Linked DNA regions of Daphnia pulex. The protein of the gene in region 1 binds, or shares a complex with, the protein of each later gene. Links are inferred from orthologs where the notes say so. Each region holds a gene or a part of one and is shown on either strand. Other genes may lie near its edges.

Region 1 (7,365 bases):
AGACCTAAAATTGCAAGACTAGGGGCTCCTTTTATTCTTGATGGACACAAAATCCTCACTCACTCCAAATCAAGAGTGGTTCTACAAACACTAGTTGAAGCAGCTGTTATATCCAAAAAACGTTTCCATGTTTTCATCACTGAATCTCACCCGGATCTAAGTGGTGTCGCTATGAGAGACGAGCTATTGAAACACAGTATTGGTTCGACTCTCATTTTGGATTCGGCCATGGGTTATGTCATGGAATCAGTGGATTTAGTGCTTGTTGGAGCTGAAGGTGTTGTTGAAAGCGGAGGCATTATCAATAAGGTACGGATAAAATATATTTATTTGACTATTTAAAAAAATTGAAAAATTTATTGAAATAGATTGGAACATATACTATGGCGCTGTGTGCCAAGGAAATGCACAAACCCTTTTACGTTCTCGCTGAGAGCTTCAAATTTGTCCGTCTCTACCCGCTGAACCAACGCGATTTACCCCAAGAACTGAAAGTATGTTAAATTTTTTAACCAATTTTCCATAATGCTGAAACTTGTGTTGAATTTTTTTAGTTCTCGTCAACTATTATTGAATCCAATCATTCTAATCTTCTCGATCAGCATCCTCAAGTTGATTACACGCCACCAGGATATTTGACTTTGCTTTTCACAGATTTGGGAATTCTCACTCCATCAGCCGTCAGTGATGAATTAATTAAACTTTATCTATGAAAGAGAGTCGTCTAAATATAAAAACATCGATAAATGTGTAAATAAAATACACGTTCATGTCACTTTTTTTGTGATTTTAGACATTTTCCTGCGCGTGTGGAAAATATAACATGCAGTAAGGTCATCTGTCGCAAGGTGGCGTTTCGAACGATGCACTTCAAATTGGAAACCGTTGAAGTTGTTAGCGTTGGTGCTAATTTAGCTCTAACTTTTTAACAATCAAAATTAGGGAATAATAACAAAGTTTAATTGAGACAACTACAGAAAACTGTGAGGAAAAAGATGTTAAATGAGCCAAATAAAGACCACATTCCGGAGAAATTTCCAAGAGAAAGAAACAACATTGATGACTTCATAAAGAGGAGACCAAGTCTTAACAGAAGTATTACTGGTGGTGGTTCTGGTTCAACTTTTCGAGGTAATGAAATGTTGTGGATATTGTTTGTCAATTTGTTCACTATGAAGTTTTTACAGCTGCTTGTGCTGCGGTAGACTCATCCCTACCTCCTTCTGGGAAGAAACATAAAATAACAGAACTATGTCTGAATCATACCCTGAAGGAAATGAAGTTTAATGCCTTAGAAAAAGAGCAAGATGCTGTTGCTGCCTATTCAGAAAGGCTACGGGATAACATTGAAGACATTCTAAACAAAGTTCTAGTTTCTACTGGAGATAAAGCTCATCAGAAATTTGAGAAACGAACAAGATCAGCCACAAAACAACTGAAGAATGAGAAGTTGCTGTGGAATGAAGAATACAAAAAGAGAAGAGAAGCCTATTTAGATGCAAAGAGTAAGCTTAAAGATGTCTTGAAGGGAAGAGTGCAAATTGAAACAGGCCGATTGAAATCTGAAGATGTAAAGTTTCTAAAGAGCTTACCAGATTTTGCAGCAGTCAACAAGAAAATTGTTTCATATCAAACACGCCACTACATAGGACTCGTACACCTGGAAAAAAATTCCCAACAACTACATCGGTCCTTATCAACGGTTGAGCGTCAACTAGACGAAGTTCAGAGCATGATAGTTCCAACTTTTCAATGGACATAGGACCTTCTCCCATTCCTTTCTGGATAACGACGTCTACAATAATCCTTTCTTCCGCTACATAATCCGCTATACTTTGTAAAAATTGACATTTCGCATTTTAAGGTTTATTAAACAAACAATTGAATTATTAAAATTTCTTTTAACGAATCAGGCTGGCTTTCTTGTTGACGTATGACATGTGATGGAGGTACTCCTGGCGGTAAAGTCCTCCCCGGATTTCTAATATGAATTTTAACTTCGCCACAACTTGTTCGATGGTCTTCGAGTCACACTCAATTCGCAAACGCCTCCATTTTCTTTTATCTGTGTCGTAATACATAATAGCAACTGATGCTGGCAATGTTTGCATAGGAACACAATCTACGATCACTTCAATAGGTAAACGGGTTGGTTTGAGATTGGGCCTTGACCACAGTAAAGTTGTTACAGACCGACTAGTTGGGCAAGGCTTGATCTCCACTTGGTCCCACGAAATTCCTGTGCGAAACGTTATTATTGGATTTGACATGGATAATTTATAACATTTTATTTATTTACCCAAAGTTATTTCCGTGTTTGGCCGAACTTTGTGTAGCAAAAATCCTTTGAACGAATGGTAGTCGGTAGATTCCAGAACAGCCCCACGCTCTTCTGGTTTCTCAGTGTTGAGTTGATCAACTGTTTTATTAGTCTCGACGTCTTTCTTCGCCTCCTTTGGGGGATTGGCAGAGCGAACCAAAGCCAGGGAGGTGAATCCAAACTTCCCAACAACTTCTTTAGGTTCTAGGCAAGGGAAATCGGCATCTGGACTTCCGTCGTCTTCGGCAATGAATAGTGCGTAATTATCCACAGATCCACTAATTGTAAAATATATACTGAACTTAATTAATCTAATTTTTCAAGGGCAAAATTTTAATATTTACGTTAAAGGAGGTTCTCTTTTTTCGTGGCTGTATTTGTAACAAACAAGGCCGATAAGTTCAGAAACCTTTGCCGAAGCCACAACACAAACGGTCATAGGAAAGTTGCGGTCTTCAGCACTTTGCATGCTTAAAAATATCCTTATTGTTCTTGTGGGTGCTCTCAATTGAGAATTCCCATCAAATTTTGCATACTCAATGAATGGCGAATCGGGATCCGAGGCGTGCTCAGCCATAAGTTTAGAAAGGGCAGATTTGGAATTCTGAGCAACCACTTCCTTCTTTTGAAATATCTTGGTCTTTTCACCTTGATCTAGATTGGTCAAATCTGGCTCTTTCCATCTAATGGTACTGATCATGGCGGCTGCTTGCTGTTCTTTCCTCATCTTCTCAAGCCTCACCACTGTGTTAAGCCTTCTCCTCCGAGTTCCAAAGTCATCATTACCATTTCCTAGAGATCTTGTGTGAATTCGTCCATCATCATCAAACTCTTCTTCTGAATCATCTAAATTTCCAAACCACTGTTTTTTACCCTCTTCTCTGATCTTCTTTGGTATATCAGCGTTCTGCAATATCATTTCGCACATGCCTGAATGGAGAGAAACAATGCAATCAGCACTATAGAAAATCAAATGTTCCAAAGAGAATAAAGTAACTCACCAGTATCATCTGAGTACAAGAATGAGTTTCTTACATGGGAAAGAATCCAATATTTGTTGTCATAAAACGCCATAATACTCTGTTGACCTAGAACCCAAATTCGATTTCGATTTGTACGCGCACCAATGAAGTAAGTATATCGTACTTTCGGATAGCGTAGCACTTAGATAATGTGTATAAAACATTGAAGCATTCTGTATTTTTCTTTTTTCATAGAGAAAGGAGACCAAACACCCAACTCTTGCTCTAATGTTATTGTTTTGCCTTTTTAGGGATTTAGTTTTAGGTTGTTTGACATTTTGATTGAGCTTCTGCTATGAGCGCAGTGTTGCCGCATCAAATCAACTGTCTGTTGCGCGAAAACGTCGGCAAAAATTAATAATTTTTTCGGCTAAATTTGTCTTCCATTCCATTTCTTAGATCTTCAAAAACGAATTGGGTAATGCTGTGAGTTTATTTCTTATTAACTTTTTCAGAAGCGAACACTATGTATGGTTCAATTTGATGGGCACGGTCGTATTGAAATTGGTCGAGAAAGAGGTAAAAATGTGTTTTGTTCTTTAAATACTACTTTAACATACTTATCTTTTTCTTTTACCATTTTAATAATGTTATGCCCCGCATCAAAATGATTTCTAATTATTTATTGTTAAATTAAATCATCGAGATCTTCATAATCATCAACACTGAATTTAACCAGAGCTTGGCGTGGTCGATGACGTCGTAGTTGAATCTGTGGTGCTTGTAACAGTAGTTGAGTCGGAAGTGCTTGTGACAGTAGTTGAATCTGTCGTGCTGGTTACAGTACTTGAATCGGTGGTGCTGCTGGCCGTAGTAGTTGAATCTTATTTTGGTAAATATTTTAAAAAATGTATAGTGATCTTAGAATTACGAATGTGGATTCATACTAAGTACTAACCTGATGTGGAAGTTGGCGTCGATCCTGTGGTTGTAGTCGCCGATGTAGTGGTGGAGGCCGGAGTGGTGGAGGAGGCGGTGGTTGAAGCGGCAGTAGTACTGGACGCAGCAGCGGTATTAGATCCTGGACAAACAACAACTCCGGCTGGAAGACAATTTGCGCCTTTCAAAGTGTAAGTAGCTGTCGAAGTTGTGGAAGTTGCGGTTGTCGTCGTTGTGTACACTGTCGATGTACTATAATCGTTCAATGTCATTTTATGATTGACGGTGATATTTTGAATTATGAATTTCTTAAGGAATATCGTGTACCTGGTGACGAGGACGGCCGGAGTCGGTTGCGGTCGGAAAATGCCACTGAAAATGTTGGAGAGAAGAGAAGAAAAGGCGTAAAAAGCGCCGAAAAGCGGATCTGCTACCCTGTAAACTGGCTGATCTGACGGTTTATCGAGCGACGACTGAATACTGAATGGGGAAATGAACTGCGGATTGGACTGGTAGGGGCGGATGGCCATTCCATTACGGTAATCGGGCAATGCGGAAGGCAGAACCCTATTTCAATTATTGACAAATACAAAATTAATAATTTGATGGCCCTTTTATCAGGAAAGATAAGATATTTATGCTTACTGGATGACTTGAGTGGGTTTCAGCGGCTGGTACTGTTGGTGGATGTCATCCTGGCTGACGAAGACATGGTCGGCATATAATGGAAGATTCCAGTACTGTCTCTTCCGGCGACACACCGTTGTGGCGGAAGGTGCTTCTAGTTTCGCGCAGTCAAACCTCTTACTAAAAAAAAATTATCAATCAAATTTTAAACAGGTAATTTTAATTTAGCCATTCAGTAATAAGAAATAAAAACAATTACTTGATTGTTATTGTTGTGGGACCAGTTGCTGTGGTGGTGACAACGGTGGTAACGGTAGCGGCTGCCCGATATTCGGGCAATTGATGAATGGCGTGATTGTTCCATAACGGTGATTCTTCGCGGACGACGGCAGCCTGTACGGAAGCGATGATCAGTACGAACAGAAAAATTGGTAAGTCAGCCATTATTTTCGCTTATTTCTGGGTGACGACGACTGAGCGAGTGTTCCAGGAACAGTAGCGCTAACGTCATCGGGATGGCCTTCTTTTATAGTGGACCCTGGCTATTTTATTTTCCAATATCTTTTTAAAACTGACCTTTCTCAAAGAAAAGAAGAGAGGGGAAGGTTATGGAGTAAAGTTCGACGAGGCGAGAACAGGTTCTCTGATTTTATAACAGATTAAAAGTTAATCATATATCCAGGCTTATATTAAATTGTATATTTCCACGACAAAACCTGCTCTGCTCTTATCTTGGGGTAGCAGGTATGTCCATCTGAATTTTTCCACGCGCTCTTTTACTAAGAAGGAAACCCGAAACCAATCTTAAAGTGTATTGTATATAGGCTAGTGAGAAGTGTGCCCTTTGAAGAGTTTCCTTCAAAAGATGGTCATCTAGATATTATTGTGGTTCAAGGTCTTCTTCTGTATAGTTCAATCGGAGTTTCCACGTGTGTCGGCACACAAGCAAACGGAATTTCACCTGTCGTTCTTGACCTCAGACAACAACAACAAAAAACAAGGAAAAAAAGAGAGAAAAGAAAGTTGGATGTTTGGTTTTTTGAGAATTAGAAATTAGAATTTTCTAAAAAAAAAGTTGAGCTCTGTTTGCTTATAGTTATTTATATTTTCTTAGCTCTTCTTTTTTTAAATGCAAATGACAGCAGTAGTTTAAAAAAAAAAATCTTGTTGAAATGAGAATGTGACGTGATGTTCATTAGATTCCCGTGTTTAATGAGAAGCTAAGATCAATGGCGCAAAAGGGCTACAATGAATAAGACCTTCTGGCTTGTACCTTATACAGCTCTAGCCTGGCTACGTTAAATACAATTTATAACAAAAGAGGCTTAGGCTGCCGAGCTATCATATGAAAGGCGACGGTTTATTACAGTTCAACGTGTGCTTCCTGCGCCGCTTCTGCGCAGCTTCCCTCGGCATACATGTAACAAGATAGTACCGATGTTGTCTGTAGTAAAAGCTCGCAGACGCGACCGTGGAATCAGCCAAAGTACAGTTCATTTGAGATTGGGAGCCAGTGAATGTATTAAAAAAAAGTTCGCATTGTTTTTGGCTTTCCTTTGTGCTATTGCTCTATTGCAAACTACAAATAACCGACAAGGATTTCTGTGTAAGTTATACGTTTTTCGTTTATTCTTCTGTTATTCCGTTCAAACCCGCTCCTTCTTCATTAGTGAAAGTAAATTAAGCTGATTTACTTTGAGTGACGTTTTTCGTGGGTGAACTATCTGTTGTTACTCTCCGGGGAGTCTGTGATTATTTAGGCAATTTTATCGATTCACTGATTTTGAGCCGACGACTTTAAGGTAGTATATGCATGTAGAGTATTCGGGCTGCGGGTAATGGAAACCATTTACTATCGTAAATAAAACATTCTATTTCCGAGCGACTTGCCATCATAAATATGATGTTGGTTTTAACACAAGTGCCTTTTGTTTGTTTTCTTTTACATAAAGGCTGGCAAGCACCACTAAAATTGTCAAGAGAATAATGATAAGGAAACATTTTGATTCATTCTAGCGACTTTTAGAAAAGAATGTGTCTCCATATCCATCCAGGATTTTGATACAACCCACCAATTTTTTTCCGCCCCTTTTTCTTCAACATATAAAATTCATCTTGAACCGTGTTCTTTCCATGGGGGAACTTGATTATATCATCAATTAAAAACTCGATTCAACTTTGGTATCAGATTGTGCAAGAACGAGAGAGGCCCAACCTAAAGTTGGACTTCTCTAGCTCAAAGAATTGCTCCCACGGGTACCATCGCCCGCGCCTCCATCCTCAACTTCTTCCTTTGTGAACGACAAATTTATTCCGAACGAAATGTTTACTGTTAAATGTCAAAAATGTTAACTCTAATATTAAACATTCAAACTCGGCGCAGCAGTATAGTGCACTGTTCTCAGCGAAATGTTAAATATCTTAACATTTGTCAAAAGATTAAATTTTTGTGCGTGAATGAGAACAAAATCCTCGTTTCCGGGAAAAAGATAAGCTCGTACACAAATAGTTTCTATT
Region 2 (8,016 bases), on another chromosome or scaffold:
AAAGACAAAATATTATTTTACCTTTATCCATTTGAGATGGGAATGAATAACAGCCGTCTAGTTTGACATAGTCAACTTTCCAGTCCGCAAAAGTTTGAGCGTCCAATTTCATGTTGTTCAAAATACCCTTAATAAATATATTGAAAACAAATTACTTTTTAACCATTCTGAAAATATAAACAGTAAAGCAAAAAATCAATTTACTGGGTAGCCAGCGCAAGTGTAGTTTCCATAATCTTCGTAAATTCCAAATCGCAAGCCACGGGAGTGTATCTTTAAAAAAAATACAAAAAAAATATAATTAAATGAGTTATTTGCGGAGATAAGATATTTTACTTCAAAGAAATGATAATCGTCTCACATAATCGGAAAGTGCTGGTATGCCACTAGGGAATCGAATGGGATCGGCTTTCAATCTGCCATCAGAATCTCTTACTTTATCCAACCAGCAGTCGTCCAAGCTAATTAAATTGTAACCAGCTTTGGCATAGCCTTCTGAGACCAGAAGATCAGCCATCTCCATAAATAATCGTTCACTACAGAGTAAAGATTGTTTAAGAAAAAATTCCTGGAATGAAACATTTTACTTTATTAAAAAGGAAATTGTTTGGAACCTGATGCAGTGCTTTGGATCATTGACACAGTCGGTGTTGCATCTAAATCTCTGCCACGCCAGCCACCCCATTGGTGGAGACAATGCCAAACCATTATCAAGGCAGTGTGAAAATGACGAGAAACTTAATATCACCAAGCATATTTGAAAAAATATCTCCATTGGATTGTTTTGAACGTTTTCAAAGCGGATATTCGACACTGGTCTAAGCTTCTCGTCAATATATGTTTCACAACCTATAAGAGAAACGGCATACAATCAGAGATCTGCGAGAATACTAGATTCTGTTCTAGATTAAATAAATAATAACTGCAAGAAACGACAGCTGTCGTAACAAAAACCTCAATTCTCAGTGACGGCGGTATTGTTACTCAAGAGCCCGTATTATTTTGATATGACACTTGACACTTGCTTTTGTTTTGATTTTTATATTGAATTGTTCTCAGCAGATGGCTTTTCTTCGCCACCTAGCGACTGAAAAAGGTAGTTTTTACATTCTTGTTTTGTCACTTAATCAGCGAATGGTGAATCGGTGATGTTGTTCGAGTCTGACTATTCGAGTTATTTGCCACGTAACTTCCGAGTTTCGTCACACTTGTGAGGCTATTTTATTATAAGAATCCAACGTAAAGCACCGAAAATTGCGCATAGGAAAAAAAACAACGAGTGGGGATACTCTGCCATGGGTATAAAATTCAATCTATTTTGCCGTGTAACCATCTTGGTTTAGAATTTCTTCTCCTGCTGCTAGCCTTTCTCTGAAATCTAGTGTTCTACTTTTGAGTGAAATGTTATTTTTATTTAGGTCCCGCTCAAGATGACGTGGTGGAAGAGCAAAATGAGCGTCTTGCCCAGGAACTAGCCGGAAAAGTATCAAGATTAAAAAGTGTAAGTTGCTGCCACTGCTTTATTCTTCCAAAATTGTTAATTGTGTCTAACTTCTTATTTTTTTTAGCTGGCATTTGAAATTGAACATGAAACAAAGGATCAAAATAGCTTTTTAAATGGAATGGTTGATGATTTTGACAGCTCACACAGTCTTTTGGGGAAAAGCATGGGAAGAGTCAAGAACATTTTAAACATGGGAAGCGGTAACAGGAAAACTATGTGCTATGTTGGGTTTCTCATATTTGCCTTTTTCATTCTTGTTTACTACACATCATCTTTATTTAGCAGAAATTAAAATACACTTGTACATTCCACATTATAAATAGTAATGTTAAAAACTTAAACTTAGTTAAGAAAATACCACTACTTAACAACAAATTGGATTATTAACGATTGGATTTGTATAAATTAATAACGAGTGCGAATGCAGAAATTTTGAGGGGTAACCAAAAAGTGGATTTCGAAGTTTTCTCTAATTTTTTTTTATTTCAAAAATAAATTCCAACATCGTCGTATAATATAATTTTTTTTTTAAATTAAACTGCGCACTGCTGGATATTTCATCTAATAAAAAAATCTGCGATTATTGCCGAATAACAGTTATTTTTACGTGTGAAATGTAAAATACGAAATAATTGAGAAAACGGTATGGCAAGTAGGAGGTGTGTTGTTGTTTATTCGTTTTGACATAACGTTTACGATGCGTTCTGCTGTCGGCAGCATCAGTTTACTCGGCAAAATATTTACTTATAGGAATTCTCAAATCTACAGGAAAAGTCAAACATTTCCATTGATACGATCAACACATTCGTTTAAAATGCATCCCCATAGTTATCTCAACCAATCCGATGCAATTGCACTTGATGTGGAGCTTTTCAACTATTTTGGAGTCGAACAGTTAATGGAACTGGCAGGATTAAGGTGTAAAGCTTGATAAGCCTTAAAATAATAATTTCTGTAGATTGTATTTAGTTGTTTATTTTCTTTCATCAGTTGTGCATCAGCAATTGCAGAAGGATTTCCAGAATCCAAAAATGTATTGATTGTTGTAGGTCCAGGGAATAATGGAGGAGATGGACTTGTTTGTGCAAGACATTTGAAAATGTTTGGGTATTATAATCTGAGGTACTTGCAGCAGCAGTTTTTTTTACATGTCTCTTATTTCTTTTATAGCTACTGTCCTGAAATCTTCTATCCCAAGCGTACAGCCAAGACTCTCTATGAAAATCTTACAAAGCAGTGTGAACTGTTTGAAATCCCATTTTTAACAGCATGCCCAACTACTGAAGACTTGAATTCAAAATACTCACTTGTTGTCGATGCACTATTTGGCTTTAGCTTCAAAGCTCCTGTCCGAAAGGAATTCACTGAGATTATTGACAATATGCTACACATGTCTACACCCTGCTGCAGTATTGATATTCCCAGTGGTACAGGAATTCATTTGTTCTTATTGTGCTAGCATTTTTCATACATACAAGTGTGCTATTAAATATTGTCTGGTACTTGCAGGCTGGGATGTTGAAAATGGGCCACTTGATCAAGATAATTCCTTAAAGCCAGCCATGCTTATTTCTTTGTCTGCGCCGAAATTGTACAGTATTTACTTCACGTTCATATTATCTCTGGTTCAAAAATAATTAAAGTCGATTATGGCAGGTGCGCAAGATTTTTCCACGGGATCCATTTTTTAGGGGGTCGTTTTATTGCACCTGCATTGGCTACGAAATACAAACTAAAATTACCAAATTATCCTTCAACGCATAATTGCGTAAGATTATAATATGTTTATCAGCAGGGCCCAGCAGAGCCGTAATAAATACACGATTTCAAAAGCAATGTCTTCATATTAATTATTTTATACTAATTAGTATTAAATTATTTTTAATAAAATCTTGTTTGAAAAGATTTTTGGTAAAAAGTTGTCAGCTGTCTGATGGCATAATCTTTGCTACGCGTTTCACAGAAGAATATATTACCGTCAGCAACCTGATTATTCACTAGCTAATACCGGTTCTTCAGGTGTAAAGGTGTAAAAGTAATAATAATTGAACTATCCATCAATGCGCAAGTATCTTACAAGCTTTTTTTAATATTTACAAAAAAAAAATACTTTAAAATCATATTCATGGATCGCGTTTTCAGAAGAAAAATATATATGTTAATTTTTTGTGAAAGAAATTTTTCTCTAATAATGGACTTTTATAAAAAAATTATCAATTAAAAAGTTTATGTTGTGAATGGAACTTTCAAATACGCTATATTCATTCTCTTGTGATACATAACATAGCCCTTATTAGTAATCTAGATTGCTTCATAGAACGGGAGAACACGTTTCGCATTCAAAAAAGTTCAATCGCGCGCGTTTATTCTCTCAGTTGTTTGTCAACCTTCGAAAATGGAGGTGCCTCGACGATTGGGGCGAACTGTCAAACGTAAATTTTTATTTATTTTTTTTGTTTTACTATAGGAAATTAATTTTCCTACAGTATTTCTGTTTTGTGTGCAAGCTTTCTACATTGTTTGATATTTAATCTTGAATCCTGTTTCTTCATCTAGTAAATGCTACTTCAGATGTGCTAGTTTCTTCAGCAATTGTGAATGGTAACCCTCAAACTGGTAAACTACAAATTTATAGACAAATACTTTATTATGTTTTATTGGTGACTGACTTCCTTGTACTATAAATGTCAAGACCTGACTCCCAGCATTAAGGATGCTTTGCTGCAAATGTGCTGCAAAGATGTTGTTACCCTTGGCAAACCTCAACACATAGGATCGGTTTTAAATGTAATCTCAAAGCATATTGAGAAGAAAGGCTGTGACAGCATTGGACTGGACATTTTGGATTTTTTTATATGGTCTCAAAAGAAGAGTTATATACTTTGTTGTGTATCAGTATTGAAAGATCCTTTTTTTTCCAGTCTACGAATTGCTTTGATCAACGACAGCAAAGCCGTAAGAGCTGCTGGTCTAAGGATAATTAGACTGTGCTTAAAAAATGAAGAATATGCACAAAAATTGGTTCAAGCAGATCTTCATTACTTCATTGCAAAGTATTATAAAGAATGAAATATAGAGGAACAAGCATATTAAGCTATATCTTTTGGTTCTCTAATAGGTGTCTGGATGTGCTCGTGGATAACATGGCAGAACGTGCTCAAGCCTTGAGATTATGTAGGAGATTGATGCTGGTTGATCCACCATCATTCCCTGTTGCTCTGGCGCGTTCAATTGTAGCTCTTGCTTTTGATGGCACCAAAGAAAAGGACCGTTTAGTACGAGCATCTTTGGCTATTCTAGCTGAACTTTGTAAGGTTTATTTCTATTAAAAGCCAAATCAAGACATCAATCCATTGAATTCAATCCATTTATAGGTATCGTAAACCCATCCGTGTTCGTTGCCAGCGGAGGTGTTCGATGTTTCTCATCTGCTGTTTTAGATTGCTCCTCTGCTCGTATGCAAGAAGCTATGATGGCATCCCTACTCTACCTATTCGACACAGAGCCGCGACGTGAGCTTTCGAAATTAAACCTGCGATTTCTGATTGCTCCCTATAGTGATTTCCACTATAGACACTACATAGATGCAGGAGAAGGAAACAATTCATCTACTACGACAGATGATCGTGAGCTTCGTCTACTCTGCGCTAAGCAAGCACTGCTTACAGTTCTTAGGTCTTGGAATGGAGTATTACATGTTATGAGCTGCAAAATTCTTGAAGACCTAGTCAAAGTCTTGCTCCCATGTCACTTGGAAACCAGGGCAAGTTCTTTCATCTTGATTGGATAGCTTGGTGGTTTATAATTAAATGACAATTACATTTTCATATAGAAATCAATGTTGGAATTCTTCTATACACTTCTGCGGTTACCACTGCCGGAATGGACGGACGAATTTTCCGTAGCGCTTCTAGCTACTGATCCGTCCCGTGTACAGGACGCCTGGAAGCTGCAGGAAGGCTATGTAGCTGCAGAAGGCAAATGTCTACTACCGCACATTTCCAAATTCAGACCAAATCTTGTATTAAACCATATGGCCTTGTTGGTTTACTGCTTGGTTGAAGCCAGATTAGTCCAGACACTTGTGGAAGTAATTACGACAAGTGACACTTTTATATCGGTCCGAGCAACAATTTTGCTGGGTACACTCTCGCATAATATAATAAATATTAACTATTATTATTAAATTATGAATCTGTTCCTTTTTAGGAGAGTTATTGCATTTAAGTAGTACTTTGCTGCCACCCTCCTGTCACGGGACAAAAATGTGTCTGCCTCAATTAGTTGACTGCATTACGTCACTTAAAAGCGACCCAGTGAAACGCCACCGAGCCGCCCAAGCAGCAGCAGCCCTCTCCAAAATTCACCAACTTAAGAAAAAAGGAATCGTTCCCTACAGTTTAGCTCTTAAACAAATCGTTGAATTAGAAAGAAGAGCATCGTGCAACAAACACTCCTCCGTGAGATACAAGAAAACTGAGGAGAATGCAACCAACATCCATCGAGACGAGACGGAGTTTCAGACCAATGGAGAAATGGAATCAGAGGTATGAATTTGTGTTCGCCCATTATAAAATAAATCAGATTTTAAAAATTTGGAATTTGTAGATGAGATCCAGCAGAGATTCTGATAGCGTTCTTTCAGCACTTTCTCGAGACTGTGGAGTCCTGGCGCAAAAAGATTCATTGATTTGGAACTGGTCCGTTTTATCCAATCTTTTCTTGGTAAAGATTATCTCATAGAAATCCATCTTTTCTTAAATAATCGAATTTTGTATAAACTTGTTATTGATTTATTATTAGTGGAGTAAGATGAATTCTTGCGCGTTGGAAGATTCGAATTTGAGATCGATTTTCCGTCGGGTAATGCAATTCTACAAGCCCACTAGCAATCAGTTTTGTCAATGCGAATTTAATAATAGCCGTATGCGTCTGTATTCGACCGTTGGTTGTTATCTGATGGATTCTCTTACAGTTATTGAAGAGGTAATCTTTTTCTTCTATTTGAATTTATGGTTTGTTATTAAATTTTTTGGTCGATTTTTATTTTTACAGTTGGAATGTGAAAAGATTTTGGCCGAATTTCTGGATGATGTTAGCAGTGCAATCCGTGATATTTCTCTGGCTTCTTCGGCTCATGACTGCCTACTAAGTCCTGGGCGACTTTCTACAACAGCTTGCCGGGATTACTTCCTTTTTATCGGTCGATTGAGCAGCACCGCTAATGGAATTATCGCTTTGGAGAAAGCTGGCATTTTTCAAGAGTACTACATCAAAATTCATGTTTCTTTCCCTCAATAGTGTTACTTACTTATTTTTTTATCAAACAACAGCCTTTTAGAACTGGTAGCTAGTACAAATCACGATTGCTACTTGAAGGTTATCGCTTCCACGCTCAATTTCCATACCGACGGGTATGCTAGGTAAACAAACAAAAGTTCCATTCATCATTTCTCAACTTTTAGGAATTTATATCGAATTATTATTGATGCAGGGCTATCTTGAAAAAGATTTTACTTGGAACCGTGGAATCCGGCAGAATTTATGCCACGCATCATATACGAGTGCTATTGCGAGCCGCAGAAGAGCATGGAACAACAAGCACGCTCGCAAAGTGGGTTATACCCTTACTGCTTAATCAACTTAATGATAAATGTCGAGCCGTAGTCATAGCTGCTGCCGATATTCTCGATGAAGCCACCGACGATCCAGTAGGAGAATCACTTGCAACTTCTTGTTCTGATGTTCATTAATGTATTTTTGAAATAGGCTTGCATTGAAGTGCTGATTCCGCTTCAGACGCAATTTGTTCAGTTAATTCAAGATCAGGAAAAACAACATTTAGATTCTCGCGCACGATTATTGCTAATTAAAACGCTGTCAATCATGTCCGGATTCAAACATTGGCAAGAAACCTTCGTTGAAACGGAAAACACAAAGATTTCCCTTGTTCAACAAGAATTGGATCAGTGGATTAGCCACCTAAACGTTCGGTAAAATCTGATCAAGCCTTACAATCACGTCTATTTTCTAACATTTTCTGTCTGCAGGTATGTGCAGTTGGTTGAAAGTGATTTAGCTGATGGATTGACTCAGCATCAACGAGCTGAAGATGGTATTTGTTTAATATAAGCGTGATATCGCCATCAATATTCTAAAACCACTATTTAGGTCGCTATGGTCGCCTGAGCAACGTCCGACATGCAATTCGAGATCTGCCTATGCCTCCCCATCTTTTCTCTCAGTTAAATCAACACCGAGAAGGACTAGACTTTCTGCGTACTTCAGGGCAGCTTTCTAAGCTCTTCACGGTAGTACCTCATCTTTCCACCGAGCTAACAAAGAAAATGTACCTTCAATTTAAGGGTTTCTCCTATACTGCAGGTGGTTACTAATGGATCCATTGAAACGGAAGAAGAAATATTGGAACTCAAAGCCGCTGTGTGGGCTTGTGCTCATTTAGGAACCTCAGAATCTGGGGTTGCGTTACTGGAGTCGGCTCAGGTGGTGGA
Region 3 (7,259 bases), on another chromosome or scaffold:
TTTAGCTACATGGGTAATCTCGGGGCAAAGCAAATATTGAAATAGTTTGAAGAATCATGAAAGTTCCCAAAATAATAAATTTCCATGCCATCTCTAGCGTGTTATAAATTCTGGACAGCCTGAGGCGATTTTCAAATGAATTTCATGAAAAAATATTTTTATTCAATTCTGGATTCGAACCTGGGAACTCTTGGTTGTCCTTAACTTTTCAGGAAAGCCTTTAACCACTTTAGCTATGTGAGTCGAAAATTTTTCATGGTAAGGGTAACTTTAAACCATAATGCTGACCAATATTTTCAGCATAGACTATGAAAATGGTCTTAGATCACTCTGAGAGAGGTATAAATTAAAACTGAATTGATGAAAACGTTATTATTATGGTGCCACTTTATGCGTTTATTTTATCACAATCACAGTCGAATCATTCAAAGAAGACCCGTTTTATTAAGTTGTGGTTTCTGCTCATAGATGGCGCTGGTGGTTGTCCAGAATTTTTACAAACTGTCCAAGATTTTTGGCGGTTGTCCAACTTTAGGAAGACGTTTGGCCTATCTCAAGCACGCAAATATGACATAGCCACAAAAGTGTCCAGAATTAGTGACACTACCCTAAATATTTAATTTTTTTAAATCTATTTCGCGTGAAATAATTTCATAACATGGTCTTGTACGGTATATCCAATTATCCAGAGCCATTAACTATGTTTACCGGTCTCTTATGGCGGAATATTCTCTCGGAGACGGATATATATATATTTATTATAACATATGCAAAAATATTATGCGATGTATATCTCCCGCTACTAGCGGCGATAGTCTCAACTTAATACAAAAAATGGCGAAAGCTAAGCCATCGTCACGAAATTGTATAGTTCCCAATTGCATTAATAGATATTCAGGAAACGCCGAGAATAGAGAGAATTATACTTTATTTGGAGTGCCAAGCAATAGTTTCAATGCATGGCAAGACCTAATGCCAAACGTAAAATTACATAAAACATCGAAGCTGTGCTATCGCCATTTTGACGATTCTGACATTGTCAAAGGGTACAATATTCTAGGTGTGTTTCATCCTTTCATCCGGTGGAGATTAAAAGAAGGCTCAAATCCCAAGTATTATATTGGTAATATTATAAAATAATTGGGTAATTTTCTGTACAGAAGTTGGCGTTGAACACTCGTGTATAGTATATTGTATTTGTTATTTAAGAAAAATGTAGTCTGCTAGTCTCGGGGCGTCTCACCTGTGTCTGTCGGTGTCGGGAGTCCCGAAGTTTATTAGTTACATTGCCGTTCAACAACCTACTAGTGAATTGTTTTAAATTGTGTAACATTGTTTTGTTAACATGGGGAAAAAAGAACACAAACGGTGTTTTATTAGTGGTTGCTACGGGAAAAGGGATAAAGAAAATGCTCATGTCGGAGTTTTTGGTGTGCCAAAAGCTTCATTAAAAATTTGGCAAGACATAATTCCAAGGGGAGGCTTAACCACTTCTTCGAAGATTTGTAGTCGGCATTTTGACGACGACGATATAGAAAAAGGAAGAACAATTCAGGACAAATTTTACCCTTATTCTAGATGGATGCTAAAGCCTGGTGCTCTCCCAAAACATTTTTTAGGTCTGTTTTTTTACAGCAATATAGAGAAGAGTTTAGATACAGTTTTACACATTTAGATATAGTTAAACGTTTTAGGTTTTACTTGTGATTTCAATTTTGATTGTATTTTATTTTTTTGTTTATCAGGACATTCATCAACAAGACCAACAGTGGCCAGCTCAACATCACAGAAATCAAAAACCACCCTAAAAAATTCCTGTAGTTCTAAAACTTTGCCAATAGCAAAAGGTAACTTTGCATTGCTATTTGTTATCTGATTCTTTTTCAATTATCAAATACATTTTTCATTTTTCATTATGTAACTTCTCACAGATCCACCTTTATTGTTACCTAAACCTAAAGATGGAAGTGGTTTACCTATTCAAACTAAGACTGTTCCGGAATCAAGCATCAATTTTTCAGGCCCAAGCCATACTATTCCTCTTCCAGTTGATGGGCCTATAACTCACTACATCGTCGTTCATGATAATATTGCTGTACCAAATAAACCCACACTAACAGTAGACGGTGGGCTAAATGTAAATGGTACTCTGAGCAATTTGGTCACACCTACGGTGCAAAATGATCGTATGGATGTTAGTTCTTCTGCGTCTTGCAGTTTTGACCACAGCTACGTACTGGTACCTCCACGAACACCAACTTCTCTAGAAGAGAGTGCTGCTGCGTCATCGACATTGCGCAATTTCGAATCAGCTACATCTCAGGAAGCACAAGAAAATGCTGGCCCAAATGAATCGGATCACAATTACGTTATTCGTTCTTCTTCGACCCCTACTGTGAATGAGGAGGAAAGTTTCCATTTGGGTATGGCGGGTTACCACAACTTCATTAATGGTGTCGTTACTCCTACAGCTGAATGGACTTGGTCCTTCAACGAACGAAACAACAATTTAGTTTGTTCTTGTCATATTTTTTCCCATGACGGTGTGATGACTATAAAATCTGTTAAAATTGTCACCATGACCAAAGTTGCGTTGTATCTGAATGGAAAACCCATCACGCCTCCAGATATGCAATTTGAGTTTCGAAGTAAAGCTGATTTAGCAAATATTCTTGAAGATTTCAATTACAGAAGAACATGTCAAGGAATTGTGGATGATTCGCTAGCAGATACCGAAGTGACGGGTAAATGTGCTGGTATCAAGGAAGGCAATTTGTGGCGCTCAAAAATGTGCATGGGAATTGCAAACCCTCCTGCTTCCGCTCTCTGTTCAAAATGCCGCGTTTTTAAAAATTATTTGAAGAGAAGTACAAATAATCAGAAGACCAAGAAATTGAAAAATTCGAAAGAAGATTATAAATCGAGGTTGCGTTCCACCAAGCAAAGGTTGACACGATCAAATTCTAAAATTGAGGTAAATTATTGTTGGATTTTTTCTCGGAATAATCCTTTAATAGTTCTTTCTGAATTTCAGGCTCTTTCAGGTACCATAGAAGGTTTGCGCAATGAAAGGAAGAAGCTTTACTGGAATAGCTTTGATGTGAAATTAAAGCTTTTAAAGCCCAAAGTAATGATTAATTGATATGTCAAATTTCTCTTTTCAGCTAATTTACAAGAATTACTCACTTTTAGGAACAGCTAGTTGTTAAAACAATGATGGCCAAAGCAACAGTGAATCCTGGAAGAAACGATCGATTCAGCGCAATGCGTTACGATCCCGAATTTCTCAAAGAATGTTTACGAATCAGAAACAAAAGTTCTTCGGCGTACAAGCATTTAAGATCCGAAGGCATTCTTCCCCTACCGAGTCAGAATACACTCTTAAGAATCATGAAAAAAACAGATCTCGGTGATTCTAATAAATCAACGCAACCGGATCCACAAAACGTCTCCGCCGAATCAAATTTCATGGAACAAACAAATGTGGAAAATGAATGTCCTGCCTTACCCCACTTCACTGAGTCCGTATCGCCTACACCTGAAATAATGTTGCTACATTCAGAAGAAATACCTGTGTCTGTACAAGAAGAAATGATTGTTGAAATCTTGTCGGTTCAATAAAATGTGATTTAAAACTTAAAAATTTCTCTTCTTTTTTTTTAATTTCATACCTTTCGTAATTTGGCAATGCGGCCTTGGGCTCGTAGTTTGAGTTTCTGATCGTCGTCTGCTAGTAGAGTGATTTCAGAAGAAAAACAATAAGGAAATTTATTTTGTTGGTTTGACTTAAACGTCAAACAATATAATAAAACCTTATGGGTAATAATAATGGAGATCAAGTTATATTAGCTACAGGAGGTTATGATCACTCAATTAAATTCTGGCAAGCCCACTCGGGAGTGTGTACCCGGACGGTAACACATCCCGAATCGCAAGTGAATGCTCTCGATATCACCCCCGACAGCCAGCTATTGGCAGCTGCAGGATACCAACATATTCGCATGTATGAAATCAACTCTTCTAACCCCAATCCCATAGTCAATTATGAAGGTATTTCACGAAATGTGACTGCTGTTGGATTTCACGAAGATGGACACTGGATGTACACTGGAGGAGAAGACTGTTCTGCAAGAGTTTGGGATCTTAGGTATCATGTTTCCTCGTATTATTGGAAAAAACATAGTTTGATTGAGTTCTCATTTGTGTCATTCTAGGACAAGAAATTTGCAATGTTCCAGAATATTTCAAGTCACTGCCCCTGTAAATTGTGTTTGTTTGCATCCTAATCAAGGTGAACTATTGGTAGGAGACCAAAGTGGTGTCATCCACATCTGGTGAGATTTTACGTACCTTTCTTATTCTGTTGGGAATGATTGTAACACATGGATTGCTTATATAGGGACCTGAGAACAGATCACAATGAACAACTGGTTAGTATTGATACCTCAAGTATTTCCATTTCCATAATAATATCAATCAAATACTTACAGATTCCAGAACAAGATGCCTCCATTCAAGACATTTCCATTGATTCTTCTGCAAACTTCATGGCAGCCATTAATAACAAGGTGCCCATTATTGATGTTTATTCTTAGTTTCCCAACCAAGTCTTGAGATGTTTTTTTTCCTTTTCTCTCTCTACACAAATAAAGGGAAACTGTTATGTTTGGAGCCTCATCCCTGGGACTAAACTGCCGGACGGCGAAGAAGGTTCGACACCAACACAGTTGCGACCGAAAAGCCGTTTGTTAGCTCACAAACGTTACGGTCTCAAATGCAAATTCAGCCCTGACGCAAAGTATACGTTCGCCTCGTTTTCTTTGAATTTCTTTTTCAATCTTACAATTGATCTCGCAGGTACTTGGCCACGACGTCAGCCGATCAAACGGCCAAGTTATGGAAGACTTCCGATTTTTCCCTTCATTCCACACTGCAAACTGAAAATCAGCGCTGGGTGTGGGACATTGCCTTCTCTGCCGATTCACAATACGCAATAACAGGTACTTGACTCTTCTATTCTTCATCCTGGTTTTGTCTGCCTGTCTTGATGAAACATTTCGTTTATCCAGCTTCGTCCGACAACACAGCAAGGCTGTGGAGTATAGAAACGAGCGAGATAGCTAAAGAATACATTGGTCATTCAAAAGCTCTTACCTCATTGGCATTTCAAGACGGGACACCGTAAATTGAACATTTTACCATAATTTTCCCTTTTTTTTGGTTTTTTTTTTTCTTCTATTTTTCTCAAATGTATAAAATGTTTTTCATTGGCTTTGATACACTTAGGAACGCCTGAATTTTTAATGGTACCGTCCCACCTCACTTGTAGAGGTTGATTCATTTGGTAGAGCGGGAATCAACTCACCTATCTTGTGTCGTATTGGCTTTGGCCCCCTCAATCTCAAGACAAACGTCAACGTCAAATTGGATTAACATTCAATCAGTCGGGCGTAATGGGTTTGGGATGGCGTGACGAATTTCAGCCGAATGGAAGCAACCAAGCGCCCTATCCTCCTCTATTCATGTCAAGTCATCCATTTCTACAGTCCAGCAGAAAGGAGAAGGGAATAGTCTCGCGTACAACGAACGTGGGGCTCATCTATCAGTATTAATCTCCTTAGTTGGACACTAGCCTCGATTCTTGATGAGATTACCGAATTCAGGGCACCGAGGATGGACTTGATCGCTCCCGTGCCGGCCATTGTTTTTTCCAAACATCTTTCTTCCGCTCCTTTTTTTATCAGTTGGTTTTCCATCACTTGAATGTCCCATCACTTAAACCACCAATGCGGTGGACCGGGTTGGTCGTCGCATTAATCTCATGTCGACCTCTGATGTTTGATTCCGTAAAAAGTGCCAAGACTCCACATGCGTGCTGGCATCTAGCGACCAATAATAGCAGCTAACAGATTTGATTTCAGGATCCTATCGATCGGCGGCCGGGTTGCTGGCTCTTCTCTTCCGAGGCGGTGGTTGGGGAGAGCACACACAGCTTCCTCAAAAGAAACAAGACGTTATTTACTTTTGTTGGCTACGCTTACGTGAGACCCAGTGGAGTTTTAACTGCTGATCCAGGCCGGCTGAGAAGTAGAACCGAGAAAGAAATCCTGAATTATTGTCCGTCATAACAGAGGGATTGCTTTAGTTGCAGTGTCGAGACCAACTGCTGATGACGATGCACGTCGCCGGATTGATCCTTGCACGGGGAGGCAGCAAAGGAATCCCGCTCAAGAACTTGGCCTTACTCAAAGGCACGCCGCTTCTTCTCTGGGCGCTCAGGACCATGTCACAATGCAAAGGTAAATTACTACTGTCGCTACTATGTAATTCGATTTTAGTTTGTATGGCCGCAACCCCACAATTTTCTCTTCCAATGTTGAGGGTAACATTCTCCTTCCCGGCCGACATACGTGCAAGAATGAGATAGGTGTTTCTTTCTCCTTCTCGCAGCGCTTCAATTGAATTTGGATTGGCATTTTTTCATTGGATATTTGAGTAGGAAGGTTTTTTCATCATGTGTGTGTGTGTGTACAAGGAAAGCGAGATAGACGTCTAGCTGTATGCTCATTTGTGCGTGTCTAAAAGGGATGCCGAATGCAGTCATTCAGAAGGAGACGATCCGAATTCTGCGCCAACTGAGGCTGTTGGTGGTAGTCAGACTGGAATATAGGAGCGTTTTTCGTCTTCGTCGTCGTGGGGGGGAGAGAAAAGGCAACGGAGCGTGCTTGGCTCCAATACTACGCCCTGCCGCTCCTGTATAATAATAATATAGCTCCTAACCTTTTCTTTTCTTCTTCCTTTTTACAATAAATATATATATATGATTGGATGGTGGTGGTAGTAGTAGTTTTGTGTGCGTTACCAGGAGGATTGGAACGCCAGCGCAATTTTTTTTTTCTCTCTTCTCACCCGGCGCATTGCACGCAGCGCCTTCAATATGTGTGTAGATCCCAAAAGAATTTAGAAACTTTTTCCTCGCTGGTCCCTTGTGAGTCGAGTGATGAACGCCCCCAAGTTGTGATGTAAGGCGCGTTGCCAATGGATCGATTCAACTTGCAGACTCGGAGATTTGAATGTTCTGCCCAGCAGGTTTGACTTCCATTTGGGTGTCGTCCGACCACCCAGACATTCTTCAATTGGCCCTTGAAAACGGAGCCCAGGTCCATCGCCGGTCAGCCGAGACGTCGTCAGATGGAGCCACTTCACTGGAGGCCATCAACGAGTTCTTGGCCAGTCATCCGGGTATGATATTTACTGTA

The links. Proteins that work in one complex are often made in the same cells at the same time.
Region 2: the proteins of target of rapamycin complex 2 subunit MAPKAP1-like (region 1) and rapamycin-insensitive companion of mTOR-like are in contact, whole or in part, in a cryo-EM structure (PDB 7PE7), measured with the Homo sapiens proteins. The link is inferred for Daphnia pulex from reciprocal best matches to the Homo sapiens genes MAPKAP1 and RICTOR. Residues at the interface, in NP_001006618.1 of Homo sapiens: Ala2, Phe3, Leu4, Asp5, Asn6, Pro7, Ile9, Ile10, Leu11, Ala12, His13, Ile14, Arg15, Gln16, Ser17, His18, Thr20, Ser21, Asp22, Asp23, Thr24, Met26, Cys27, Met29, Val30, Leu31, Ile32, Asp35, Val36, Ser84; in NP_689969.2 of Homo sapiens: Arg108, Gln137, Glu140, Thr144, Leu147, Arg148, Arg151, Lys152, Thr155, Arg182, Met183, Arg185, Ala186, Ala189, Cys192, Glu193, Leu196, Leu220, Arg222, Ile223, Glu225, Ala226, Leu227, Thr229, Thr230, His233, Asn236, Arg293, Trp295, Glu844.
Region 3: the proteins of target of rapamycin complex 2 subunit MAPKAP1-like (region 1) and target of rapamycin complex subunit lst8-like are in contact, whole or in part, in a cryo-EM structure (PDB 7PE8), measured with the Homo sapiens proteins. The link is inferred for Daphnia pulex from reciprocal best matches to the Homo sapiens genes MAPKAP1 and MLST8. Residues at the interface, in NP_001006618.1 of Homo sapiens: Lys102, Cys103, Lys104, Asn105, Ile106, Gln107, Trp108, Lys109, Arg111, Asn112, Ser113, Lys121, Leu123, Phe124, Glu125, Lys126, Lys127, Ser128, Leu129, Gly137, Lys138, Gln139, Ser140, Ile141, Leu142, Val144, Arg145, Leu146; in NP_001186102.1 of Homo sapiens: Ala29, His30, Pro77, Ile78, Ile79, Ser80, Tyr81, Asp82, Gly83, Arg98, Arg110, Ile111, Trp112, Gln120, Cys121, Gln122, Arg123, Ile124, Asn139, Gln140, Ala141, Leu157, Lys158, Ile203, Glu206, Ser279, Gly280, Asp281, Gln283, Asp322.

The regions. Positions count from the first base shown.
Region 1 is NC_060023.1:2,533,447-2,540,811, forward strand, and holds target of rapamycin complex 2 subunit MAPKAP1-like, read right to left. Parts: upstream 3,631-7,365; 5' UTR 3,507-3,630; coding exon 3,467-3,506; intron 3,409-3,466; coding exon 3,322-3,408; intron 3,251-3,321; coding exon 2,665-3,250; intron 2,599-2,664; coding exon 2,300-2,598; intron 2,240-2,299; coding exon 1,902-2,239; 3' UTR 1,851-1,901; downstream 1-1,850. Other genes in the region: translation initiation factor eIF-2B subunit alpha-like, read left to right, coding at 1-309, 369-494, 555-713; uncharacterized protein LOC124198557, read left to right, coding at 996-1,131, 1,188-1,762. UniProt on the Homo sapiens protein: Component of the mechanistic target of rapamycin complex 2 (mTORC2), which transduces signals from growth factors to pathways involved in proliferation, cytoskeletal organization, lipogenesis and anabolic output.
Region 2 is NC_060019.1:11,215,095-11,223,110, forward strand, and holds the start of rapamycin-insensitive companion of mTOR-like, read left to right. Parts: upstream 1-3,766; 5' UTR 3,767-3,899; coding exon 3,900-3,936; intron 3,937-4,060; coding exon 4,061-4,120; intron 4,121-4,196; coding exon 4,197-4,362; intron 4,363-4,425; coding exon 4,426-4,557; intron 4,558-4,622; coding exon 4,623-4,813; intron 4,814-4,878; coding exon 4,879-5,267; intron 5,268-5,336; coding exon 5,337-5,646; intron 5,647-5,713; coding exon 5,714-6,051; intron 6,052-6,112; coding exon 6,113-6,229; intron 6,230-6,307; coding exon 6,308-6,490; intron 6,491-6,559; coding exon 6,560-6,768; intron 6,769-6,837; coding exon 6,838-6,927; intron 6,928-6,998; coding exon 6,999-7,215; intron 7,216-7,273; coding exon 7,274-7,497; intron 7,498-7,554; coding exon 7,555-7,619; intron 7,620-7,675; coding exon 7,676-7,815; intron 7,816-7,888; coding exon 7,889-8,016. Other genes in the region: alpha-N-acetylgalactosaminidase-like, read right to left, coding at 22-127, 205-273, 362-536, 615-775; NAD(P)H-hydrate epimerase, read left to right, coding at 1,296-1,299, 1,419-1,501, 1,569-1,792, 2,126-2,422, 2,495-2,611, 2,675-2,931, 3,014-3,095, 3,161-3,284. UniProt on the Homo sapiens protein: Component of the mechanistic target of rapamycin complex 2 (mTORC2), which transduces signals from growth factors to pathways involved in proliferation, cytoskeletal organization, lipogenesis and anabolic output.
Region 3 is NC_060019.1:9,054,538-9,061,796, reverse strand, and holds target of rapamycin complex subunit lst8-like, read left to right. Parts: upstream 1-3,703; 5' UTR 3,704-3,815; coding exon 3,816-4,147; intron 4,148-4,214; coding exon 4,215-4,334; intron 4,335-4,399; coding exon 4,400-4,430; intron 4,431-4,490; coding exon 4,491-4,568; intron 4,569-4,652; coding exon 4,653-4,798; intron 4,799-4,857; coding exon 4,858-5,000; intron 5,001-5,069; coding exon 5,070-5,185; 3' UTR 5,186-5,309; downstream 5,310-7,259. Other genes in the region: uncharacterized protein LOC124191397, read left to right, coding at 718-1,123, 1,746-1,847, 1,932-2,974, 3,035-3,127, 3,193-3,621; N-acylneuraminate cytidylyltransferase A-like, read left to right, coding at 6,170-6,299, 7,090-7,242.